3 linked regions of the Coturnix japonica genome follow. The protein of the gene in region 2 binds, or shares a complex with, the protein of the main gene of each other region. Links are inferred from orthologs where the notes say so. Each region holds a gene or a part of one and is shown on either strand. Other genes may lie near its edges. The genes, in order: WDR48, WDR20 and USP46.

Region 1 (3,648 bases), on a different chromosome or scaffold from region 2:
ACTACCTATTCACTTTTTATTTCCTTCTTCAGATTAGAATTCTTTGTATTTTTTTTTTTTGCTGGCATGTTAGGAAGAAAAAAAGCTGTTCAGCACCTTTTGACACAAAACAATTTCAAAGGCAGTAAATTACATTAAAAGCCATGATGCATGGAGAACTGTAAGACAGCAAATCAAGCTGTAACTGTTAAAGAAACAGAACAATAAAAATGTAAGAGCATATCTCAAAGAAAGAAAACATTCAAACACTAACTGTGATTTATTTCGTTTTCTTCCTCATCCATTGGATTGATGTGTGTTCTAGGCCAGTACTCCAGAAGCGCTTGCAATAGAAGCCCTCCAAGGTTCACTGTCAAGACACAGCAAGAACTTCAGTTACATCAAAAACACTGACTTAAAACATCCTACATTTGATCTACGGATCCAAGCAAACTAGTTATGGGCACAGACATCTGCTTATCACAAACTCAAAACTGCAGGCTATAACCTTTTAGAAGCTGATTTTTCAGTCACAGAATCATTGCTGCTGGTTCAATCACTTAATTCAACATTCTGATAGTAGCTGATAATAGCTCTACATTTTGAAATATCACTTTCTCCCACTTCCTTCCTGGATGTCTAAAACCAAGTGTAATGCTATAATGGGATGATAATAGCAGGGTGGCAAAGTCTTTGGCTACAGCAAATGAGAACAAGCCCAAATACAGAAGCTACAGATGCATAAATGAAGAGCTTCTTACCTTTGCAAGGTATCTCAAGTAGGCAGGGGATCTCCAGCAAGAGATGCCCTCACCTCCACTGCCAGCTCTTATATGAGGTGTGGGAAGGGGTGGATCCTGGCTCCAACCCTTCCAGTCACTCAGCTGTTGGGTGGCCCTGCCTTCTCACCAGGTGCTCAATCACTTTTTCAGGCCATGACTTAACATTTCCACTACAGCAAGTTAAAAAGAAAAAACTACTCGAATATTTCAGGATAAAATTGTATATATTTTCTTTGGAAAACTTGTCAAAATTTAGTCTCAAGGAAATCTCTCTCTAAAACCCAGACAACAACTGACTTATCCAACAAACATTCTGTAATGTAAGTACCGGAATTTGTTTTGATTTTATATTTCAGTGAAAGAGCAATACTAGTAAAAACGTACATTTTGGATCAGAACCATCTGGACTGCTGAATCCAGCATCTTTTGCTGAAACCCAGGCTGCAAAGCAGTCGCTTTCATCCAATGTAATTGTCAGCATCTGTTGGAAAAAGACCATGAGCAAGAAAAATGCAATAGTTGTATTGTATTAAACAAGTCTACAAATTTACTGAAGGAACAGCTAGGAATACAAAGCAAAAAATGAATTCCTAACAGTCTTGTGGATTTCAACTGACACTACAGTGTAAAAGTCATACAGATTATTAAGAATGGAGGTACAATGTATTGACGTGCTTCAAAATAAGTCAAGCTCATCAGATAAATGATAAGTTCTTCAAAACTTAGAACAAACTATAATCATTGTGAAGAAATAGTATACAAAGTATAATTAAGTATGACACCAGAAGAAGAGATTTAGGGTTTGTATCTCACCCCAGTTTTCAAGTCTACTGAGAACCAGTTTGGCACATACACCATTTTAAATCTCTTCTTGATTTCCTCTTCAAAATCTACTTTCCCAAGGTCTTCAACTTTACATGCCTGTACAGAAAAAGGAATACAGAAATTTCTCAATTCTGCACGTTGAATCATAACCACTCTTAAAACCTTTTACTTGATTTTCATATACACTCAAAATTATTATCATTTCACCACAATTAATTTAGTATAGGAATACACAAGTTAAAGCTTCAAGTTTTTCACCATAAATTGAAGAACACTTTTTTTTCCTGAGGTAACATTATCAAGCCAACAGAGAAGGAAAAGAAAGAAAAAGTGAATCTTAAACAAGACAACACTCAGACTTGGTGAGTTACCCATCTCTATAGTGAGCATGTATGCAGATGTATCTAAGAAAAATTGCTGAAAACCCTAATAACAAAAGCTGAAAATAACTAAATGAAGGTACCAAATTAACATTAGCACCTGACTTTGGCCCTAATATTATTCTCAAATATATACCAGTGGTAAACCAAAATAAAACATTCACTTTTCTACAAGTCTTCTGAAACACTTTCAGTACAAATCCATGTTCTTCATTCTCATTCCCTTCTTTTTCACTACAGTCAGCAACTCAGTAAGACAACTGATTGTGTTCTATTAAGGGTCTGAATTTAAAGCAAATGAAGATGTTATTATCCAGCCTAATGTTGAGAGAAGAAGCTCTTAGGATGCAGAAAGGCTCTATAATGTTCTTTCCTCTTTCAGAGAAGTCATCTTTGCTTTATTGTCTTAGGATAGAAAACTGACTTATTTTTCAACCAGAAGAAACTCCCACACCAAAAATAATATGTCAAAAACAAACAAACAAAAAAAACCCCACAAAATAATTACTGATCCAACATTAGATGTTTAATCTAAAATTATGTACTTACTTTTAAGACATCCCAGTATGCCACATTATTATTTGTGTCTTTGGTTAATATGTGCCTCTTGTCATTAAGAATGTGGCATTGAATGATACTAGCACCTCCTGCCAAACAAACAAGAATTAAGGTCACTACACTAATCTTTTTGTCTAGCTTTACACTAAATTAAACCAACTAACGACAGGAATGACTGTTCTTTGGTTTTACTATATTACACAAGAATCACTAATATCTAAACGTTATTCAACCATAACTAATACTACATAAATGATACTTGTGCTGTCTTCGATTTTATTTATTGTGATTTTGCCCAACATAGAGATAATTTTCTCTGTAGATGCACATACAATGCTGTATTTTGGATTTTTGATGGAAACAGTGGTGATAGCAATGTTGTTTTCATTTGCTGCAGAGCAACACAGAAAGTTGTTATAGAACAGTCCTTAATCACAGCCAAGGACTTCCCTTCAGTAATCAAAGTGTCAGATAACTAAGAATGTGAGCTAGTCGTAAGGATCTACCATTTCTGCTAATGATAACATTTCACAAACACTCAGGAAAACAGCTGTTTACCTTTTATGACTTGGTCAGGCTGTGTACATAGGGGTGGTATAGGATTGGTACAATCATTATCATAGTCCCCAGATGCTCTAAAATTATGTATTCCCTTCAAAGTCTAAAAGAAGCAAACAAAATAAGGACACGTTTGTAATCATTTTAAAAACTTCACTTCTATAGAATCATAGAATGGCCTGGGTTGAAAAGAACCACAATGCTCATCTCAACCCCCCTGCTATGTGCAGGGTCACCAACCACCAGACCAGGCTGCCCAGAGCCACATCCAGCCTGGCCTTGAATGCCTTCAGGGATGGAGCATCCACAGCCTCCTCAGGCAACCTGTTCCACAGTGCATCACCACCCTCTGTGTGAGGGTTATCTTGGCTAACAAGTGCCAGTTCGTGCTGCTATTCAAATATTAACCATTCATTGTTAGCTATTTTATAAATAAAAGCAGCATAGACAGAAAAATAATAAAGTAATTCAAAGAAATATGTATCACTTACCCATTTATTCACAGAGGATTTAGTCGTTGCAACCCAAATTGCTGGAGGAGGATCAGCTGATCTATCAAGTTCCAT
Region 2 (4,176 bases):
TTGCCATGTACTGATCTGCAATAGGTGAGTGATACAAGAATTATCTCAGCATCAGACAGACACTCCTCCTTCAAAGTCCTGGTGATTCGTTCACTCATTTTATTAAAAATATAACACTTAAAGTTTGCTCCTGTTCTTGCTCTGGAAAAGTAAAATAAAAGACACAGTCTTAGCTACCTGACACAGCACTAACTTCAACTTGTACTCTACTATCTTAACAGCTTCACCAACATGAAAATTATACTCTGAAAGTTATTACGGAACATTTTAAAGAGACACCTCAGTAACGGTGAAATAACTTAAAAGAGAAGTTGTTAACATTTGTATTATGCAGAGGGTCACAAATGTTTTGGTCTTCAGAGGAGCAAGTCCCTCCCCTGGCTCCACTGCCAAGCAAAGGAAGACATGCATAGTTCGTCCAGTTTAAGATGGACTTACATACTATCAATGTAGGTAGCAGTTGCTCCTTCCTGCAACTATAGCCAGAAAATAGGTAACCTTTTACATTAGAAAACTCCAATCATCAGTTGAAAGTGTCAGCCCCTTCTTCTCTCAACTCTGCACATAGACAAAAGCATCTTTCAAATGAATAGTTTCAAAATAAATTCCAAAGAAACAACCATTACAAGTTAAAGACAGCCCACCTTTTCTAGTCTGATTTTAAACACTTTCCTTAGCTTATTCCAGCTATTTCTCAAGATTAATTTTACAGAATTTAGCATATTACAGAAAAAGATTTAAGTATATTTTCATTTGTCGGCATTTTAAGAGCTGAGTGAAATGAATTCTGAACAATGCATACATTTTATATATTATATATATATATATATATATAATTTTATATTACTATGAGGAAAATAACATGCAATGCTATAACAGGTATATCACAAAGCTCTTACGTTCACAATCTGACAAACTAACATTTTCTCCATTACTGTGTAGCACAAAAGCAGCTTTTAGCAGCCAGAAAAAAAAATATATTGAAACATTAATCTCAAAATCAATTCTACAATTTGAAAAGTTACTCAGTCCCCTATTTCCAGTGCAGTCCCAAGCTTCAGATTTCAATTCTCTTTATTTTAAGCGTGGCAAGAGATGATTAAGACAATATGCAAGAATCACACCTACCATTGCCACACTACGTAAAGGCCTGTTCTGTAACACGCAAGAGAACTCCGCGGTTACTTTGTATGGAAAAACACAAGCTCAGGATATAAGAACACAAACATGACAATAGTTTAAATACTTGATTTTCAGAGATATTGTCACAATATCTTGTAAACAGTAAAGACAGCAAATGCTTAGAAAACGTTTGATATCTCATGACACGCTTCAAGAAATATTGACTAAGTGTTACTTAAGACAACTAGGTTAAGAGAACTCACTACAGTGCAAAACCAAGTCCCAGACCATTATACAGAACATATCAGATCTGTCAAGTCACAGTAAGCAGATAATGAGGTAGATTTAATTCTCCTGTAGATGCTTCTATTTTGCAGAGGAGCAGTGATTTGGGTGTTTGCTTAGCAGCCTGCAGACTCTGTTATGTAGCCTCACCTACAGGCTTCCTGCACAGTCCAGGGTGCATCACCAGCCCTCCACCTACTTAGTCCATGTTGTATGTTGGACTAAAGGCAGGGAGGCTTGAAAGGACTCACCTTAAGGGAGCTAAGTTTCAAGTATACGAGATAACAAACACCCATTTCTTGAAACATAAATCAGAAGCCTAACAATCATTACATCTGTGTTTTCATATATTGAGTGACACACGTTCATACTGTATGACAAGTTCCAAATGCTCTTCTAAATGCCATAAAGACAACGACCCTAAGAAACAACTAGTAGAAAGGATTTATTCATAAACACGATGACCTGAAACATCAAACGCATAAACTATAAGTCCCTCATCAAACGTTAACCATTAAAGAGTCTATCTCAAGTCGCACCAATGAGCGTCTTCCGTAAAAACAACTTTCTCTGCGTTAATTACCTGACATTTAAAACTCAGCTCTCTAGACTGCTCCCATTTAAGAACAACCCTGAAATCAGCCTGCACTTCAAAGGTATGAGACAGGCCTAATATGACAGCAAATCCTGCAGCCCTCCGCCCGAAGCTCGGCAGCCTTTCTCTGCCCTAACCGCGGGGATTTGACACCGCCGTAATCACGGCGGGCATTAGCTCCCAGCAACCTCCGACCTGAAGCAGCAAGTGAAGGAGGCTCGCAGTCCCCTTCGCTGTCGGAAACCCTGCCCCCATTCCTGCACAGCGAGCAAGGCCCAAGCGATCCCACCCCTCCCCACCTCCCCACGCACCTACGGGTGCGACACGGAACGTGCCATACCCCCCGGTAAGCAGCGGGCTCCAGCCTCCTGCCCGGCCCTACGCTCCCCCTGCCCCAGCGGCTGAGCGTGCAGCGCCGTGCCGGGCCGTGCCGCCGTCACCCCGCGGTCCCGCCGCCCCCCGCCCACGACGCGGCCCCGCGGCCCCTCGGCGGGCGGCCCCACAGCGGGCGGGTGGGCGGCGCGGAGGCCCCTGAGCCCCACAGCGCGGCGGGCGAGCCCCGGTACCTTGCGGACCCCCTTGTAGATGTAGAAGTAGAGCTCCCGGCCCACATTGAAGCAGAGCCGGTCCCCGTTGCCGCTCTGGTCGTTGACGTTGACGAAGGAAACGCGGACCGGGTTGGAGCCCTGCGAGTTGAAGGGCACCCGGTTCGGCCGGCTGTACTCCGAGTGGCTCAGCAGCTTGTACAGCCCCTCCCGGGTGGTGAACTGGGTCTTAATCTCGTTCATCTCCTTCCCTCCTCCCTCCGCCGCCATCTTGGAAAGGAGCATTCATCCTGCCCCAGTGCCCGGATGTAGCTCCACTGCGCAAACGCCGCCGCCGCCGGCGCTCGCTCGGCGCTGCGCGGAGCCGGCCACGCAAACGGCGTAAGGGGGAGGAGCGGCCGCCGCTGTTTACTGCGCCTCCGCGCATGCGCCGGGCGGCCTGTGCCTGGGCGGGACTGGGCGGGGAGGGGCGGGGCTGGCGGGAAGGGGGAGGGGGCGCTCCGTGAAGGGGCGCTCAAGATGGCGGCGGCGAGAAGGGGGAGTACAGGGGGTTTGTGTAGGAGCTGCCTGTGTTGGAGCGGTGAAAAGGGAATAAATATCAACGCGCAGCCGTAGGTGGATGTTTCCAGTCGACCCACCGCTGTCCCGATTCTATGGTTCTATAAAGGCAGGCTGTGCCTAAGGTGCCAGGCTGGGGAGTTGGCCCCGCTGAGCGTTTGTTAACTGGAAAAACGGGTTGTCACGTAAACCACGTTGTTGTGAAGCAGGTCAATGTCCTCCTCTGTGTGAGGGATGAAGTGGAACGGGCTGAAAGGGTTATTTTCCCCAGGGAGGCAAGGCTGTGCCTTCTGGTAACTGCATCAGCCTTGTGGTTGGCTTAAACTAATCAGAGACTGATCTCTAGTGTAGAAATGCATCTGACCTCTCTGTCTTTGGGTACCTATTTCCATTGCCTCCCTTGAATCAGTTCCAGTAATCATGCAACCAAAGGGTGAGTCAGATCAGCCTGAGAAGCGCCCTGCATGCAGAAATGAGAAGCAAGTTGTTGGTTGGCAACCGAGCTGATCCCATCATCGCAGCTGCTAGAGCCAAAATAAGGGAGAAGTTAGAAGTGTGCAGCTGTGGGAAGAGCAGCACAGTCAGACTGCCTTGTAACAATGTGCTTTCAAGGTTATTTCACATCTAGCTGATCTGCTCTGATGTAGCTGCTCCAATAGCTGTTGTCCTCCTCCCTCTTTTCTACTGTCAGTACCTACTGCTACATCCTTTACCAGCTGTGTTTTTCTGACCTTGTAATGAGCCATTTCTGAAAGACAAGCAGGTACTCCCTTCAAATATAAGGACAGGTTTTTATGAACAGGTTGGCCCAAGTTGTGGTGGATGCCCTGTTCTTGGAGACACTCAAGGTCAGGCTGGAAAAGGTTTTGAGCACCTTATTGAGCTGTAGATGTCCCTGTTTGTTGCAGTGGAGTTGGACTAGATGACCTTTGCAAGTCTCTTCCAACTAATTTGATTCTGTGATTCAAAGGTGAAATGACTTAAATGAGAAATGTGTAAGGCAGAGGGGACAGGAAATGCAGAGCAGGAGGGAAGTGAGACCTTGCCTTCTTTCCATTGGTTCAATCACAG
Region 3 (3,648 bases), on a different chromosome or scaffold from region 2:
TATTGTTTCCCAAAGATTTCGAGGTACCATAATAAAAGAAAAACATAAACAACTGTAGAAATATACTGGGCAGAACACCATATTTCTGCATTCAGAGGAAGCTTAAGACATGCTTTCCTACAGCAGCAGCACTTTGTTCATTACAGTTTGACTGAGCAAACATAGGATGTTAATTGAGAACCAGGCCACAAATGTTTGAAGAAGCTTGTCTGTCAAAAAAATCCTATCATTCCACTTTTTTTTAAGTCTTGCTACTACTCTGTGAGCTATCATAATAGAAATATACTAAAGAATTAATTTTCAGTCTCTTCCTCTCACATTTTCTCTGTGACAGCCTTGTTCCAGATTTGGTCCACCCCATTTCCCAAACTGATTGTCACTTTATCACTCTTCCCTGTCCCTGAACACAAGCTCCCAAGAAGTCATTTTCTTGGAGTACAGTGTTATCATTTATGATTAAAGAATATCAGGATATGTTCTTCTAGACTTTTATCTCACCTAAATTTGGCTGCCTAGAGATAGACATTAAACTTCAGCCTGCTGTTGGAAGATGATTTCTCTGGGCACCTCCTTCCACCTTCATGCAGATAATCTAAAGCTGTGTTTTCTTTAGAAAAGTTCCACAGTAGCAATACTAGTCTGAGTTGGAAACATTGTTCTTAGGAGAGATCAGTTTGTTGGCCCGATTTACAACACTGCTGCACAAACAATTGCAACAGCTCAGTGCAAGGACTGGAATGAGAACAAGCTGTACTGTGTAGATGGAATACCTGATACTGCTCAGACTTTTATCTCACAGAACAGCCTGGAGACAGATGGAGAGAGATTCCTGAAGAAGATCCTTTGCAAACTCTATCAGCTATAGAAGGTGCTGAGAAAACTAGTTCATCCTTGACACCTCCCTTTCACAAAGCAAAAGTTAGGTAAGATTTGCAAACTAAGTTGCAATCTTCTGAGACTTCAAATATAAGAGACTTCCACCATTCTTTTAAGAATGTTTCAGAAGACAAAAGAACACATACGGTTTGTTAATAATAAATCCTTTGTCAGCCACATTCTTCAAAATGAATGAATGCAAATCCATCTTAATTTTCCACTGGTTCTTGGAATAACAATGCAAATACCTTCTCCTGAAGTTACAGTGGTAGAGAAGGATACCGATTAATTAGCAGGGGTTCTAAGTGTAGAGTTACATGTTATGACAGCCAGACTTGGCAAAGGCTAGCCAAGAAACACCTAGAAAAATAAATTTTTAGAAAAGAATATACTCACTTCAAGAAGTAAAGTCTACAGGAATATCCACAATTCTCAGATGTCTGAAAAGATTCATATATTATACATATAAAATGTATCTATCTATTAAAGGGCAACAACCAAAAAACAATCTATCCCAATGCTTACGGTTTCACAGTTCAAACATCTAGTTTCGTTAGTCAGTGTTCCCTGAAAAATCTCATGCACCCAGGTGAGTTCTTGCTTATTGTTCTCTTCAGCTTCGTTCATGTTGCCATTTTTCAGCTTCCCGTTTTGCTTCTCCTGTTTCTTCTCCTCCTGCAAAATGTCGGCGATTGTATTCAGCAAGTAATTTAAAAACTCGTGGGCATCCTGCTGCATGTAGTTGTCAAAGAGATCTGTGAAGAAGAGAGTCAAGATTTCTACAGCTCAGTATACCTTTTATTTCAAGAAATCAAACTAAAACCACTGTTTTCCGAATCCTTGCTCAGCAAAATACTTAGAATTGTGCCAAAGAAAAGTACACTGGATTCAGAGAAGCTGCTTTGAGGGAAGGCTTCATCTCACATAATTTTAGTGTGTCTAAAAGACCAGGGTTGTATTTGGAGTAAGCTGTGTAGGCTCCCATTACAGTCAGTGAAGAAAGCAAGAGGGTGGTCCTCAGTGCAGCCAACTATCTGTGCCCACTGTACAAGAAAATCTGTGACTACAAAGGCAACTTACATTCATTCTTTACACCCACTGCTTAACATTAGGCATTACTGATTCCCACCCATACATTCTACATCACTGAGTTTGGACAGTGCAACACTTGGCTGGGGAAAATGAAGATGCTGGATGCAAACATATAGTATTAATAATAATGTCATCTGACAAAGCTTATTTTTCACACACAAGTCTGATGAGGACAGACTTCTCTTTCATACAAAATGCTTTCTGGAGCATAGGCTACCCCAGTGGTGATGAAAAACAGGCTTCTTCCCTAGTGGAGGCTTAACTTGCCCACCATGCTGAAGAAAAACAATTTGCATTCCCAAGAAATGTGTGTTTTTATTCCTCTACTCCTGGAAAAAGCCCACATGGATTTCCTCATAAATACTGTACAGTTCTCAGCTTTGCAGCAGCCAGCCTGAACACAGAAGCACATTAATATATCCCAAATCTGGCCCTAATTTGAAAAAGCTGAAAACATAAGACCCGGTCCCAAAAGGTGATCCCAGCAGTGTAGGGGCATTTATCACTAAGATGATTTGGAGCTGACTTTGTCACTGTTTACAATGCCTGCTTTGCAATGGACAGTCTGCCCATTTACATGCTGTCACCAGGAGGCAATTTTTCCCAGGTGTTAACTCACAATTCTTTCTTCTCTTCATTCAAAGCTCCCTTGTTTCCAAGCACAACACCCACACTGATATGAATCCAGGCTGAAAAGGAACTGTGTGGCAGGCTTCCTTACTTCAAGACATTCCTACCATCCCTTAGGAAGAAACACTAAAAGATCAGGCATATACTGTTGCCAGTGTGGTGCTCAAAAAGGGGCTGATGCTTTGCAAAGTCAGACTGCACCCAATGCTCCTAGGAACAACAGCAGTGGCTGACATGCAGTCCACTGAAAAACCCCCCAAACACATTTTCCTGCCCTCCAGGGTGTTTTGGGCTTGTAAATGCCTGTAGCCCTAGCAGGCCACAATGCTTTAGTACTGCCAGCTGCCCGCAGCGTTTCTCTCTGCCATGCCACATTAAAAGTTAGAAAAAAACTGGGGCAGAATGCCACCCTCTTCCCAGCCTTAGCTGACTGCTTAGTGTGATCTATCATACCGTGCACTAAATGACCTCTGAGAACTCAGGAAATCTGGCGTAGCTATTTCAAGCATAACACTGAGTAACAGCTACTATAATATTAGTATCTAAAACCAAAAAACTGCTAAAAGTCCTTTCCAGACCTAACCTGACCACCTGACTAATATGACCACCTTACCCAATGTTTAGATTTCCCTGATCAGCTTACAGATATCTAAGAGAATTCCAGTTCCACACTTACCGTTCTCTTTTCGTAACCTTGATATGAACTTCTTTGGTGGAATAACTCCGACTTTCTTCTTCTGAGTAGCAATACTGTGGAAAAGATCTGCCAGGCAAGTCAAGAGGTTTTCCTTCTTTTTCTGTTGGGCCTTGTATGATAACACATTTTCCCGAAATGGCCGGCAGAAATACAATGCCTGCAGCACGGAGTTACAGTAGCAGGTGTTTCCAAACTGCCATGTAAAAGCAAAAACAATCTTAATCTCTGTACATCACAAGAAACTACTCAACATCTGTCTTCTGTGACACAGCCATTTTGCCAGGTGGCTGCTGTAGGAATATATTTCCACACCCATCCCAACAATGCATAGGAAAACACGTGAAATTATGGTG

Evidence for each region.
Region 1: the proteins of WDR20 (region 2) and WDR48 are in contact, whole or in part, in a crystal structure (PDB 5K1C), measured with the Homo sapiens proteins. The link is inferred for Coturnix japonica from reciprocal best matches to the Homo sapiens genes WDR20 and WDR48. Residues at the interface, in NP_653175.2 of Homo sapiens: Arg20, Ser364, Thr384, Glu385, Asp386, Glu524, Pro525, Leu526; in NP_065890.1 of Homo sapiens: Val191, Lys207, Gly208, Gly240, Gln241, Gln242, Arg243, Cys244, Ile245.
Region 3: the proteins of WDR20 (region 2) and USP46 are in contact, whole or in part, in a crystal structure (PDB 6JLQ), measured with the Homo sapiens proteins. The link is inferred for Coturnix japonica from reciprocal best matches to the Homo sapiens genes WDR20 and USP46. Residues at the interface, in NP_653175.2 of Homo sapiens: Asn41, Ser42, Gly44, Arg151, Lys259, Tyr261, Phe262, Gly263, Glu282, Asp283, Asp284, Leu285, His301, Lys304, Ser305, Trp306, Gln374, Asp375, Thr376, Leu509, Arg516, Met517, His533, Glu534, Arg535; in NP_073743.2 of Homo sapiens: Asn205, Thr206, Ser207, Thr209, His210, Arg213, Arg273, Val275, Phe276, Pro277, Glu279, Leu280, Arg281, Phe283, Asp293, Met295, Gln338, Glu342, Tyr344, Thr347, Ser348.

Annotation. Positions count from the first base shown.
Region 1 is NC_029517.1:4,663,577-4,667,224, forward strand, and holds part of WDR48 (WD repeat-containing protein 48), read right to left. Parts: coding exon 3,574-3,648; intron 3,186-3,573; coding exon 3,083-3,185; intron 2,614-3,082; coding exon 2,516-2,613; intron 1,683-2,515; coding exon 1,575-1,682; intron 1,243-1,574; coding exon 1,146-1,242; intron 350-1,145; coding exon 254-349; intron 1-253. UniProt on the Homo sapiens protein: Regulator of deubiquitinating complexes, which acts as a strong activator of USP1, USP12 and USP46. Enhances the USP1-mediated deubiquitination of FANCD2; USP1 being almost inactive by itself.
Region 2 is NC_029520.1:45,047,819-45,051,994, reverse strand, and holds the start of WDR20 (WD repeat-containing protein 20), read right to left. Parts: upstream 2,911-4,176; 5' UTR 2,833-2,910; coding exon 2,569-2,832; intron 1-2,568. UniProt on the Homo sapiens protein: Regulator of deubiquitinating complexes. Activates deubiquitinating activity of complexes containing USP12. Anchors at the base of the ubiquitin-contacting loop of USP12 and remotely modulates the catalytic center of the enzyme.
Region 3 is NC_029519.1:59,559,440-59,563,087, reverse strand, and holds part of USP46 (ubiquitin carboxyl-terminal hydrolase 46), read right to left. Parts: intron 3,489-3,648; coding exon 3,275-3,488; intron 1,632-3,274; coding exon 1,402-1,631; intron 1-1,401. UniProt on the Homo sapiens protein: Deubiquitinating enzyme that plays a role in behavior, possibly by regulating GABA action. May act by mediating the deubiquitination of GAD1/GAD67.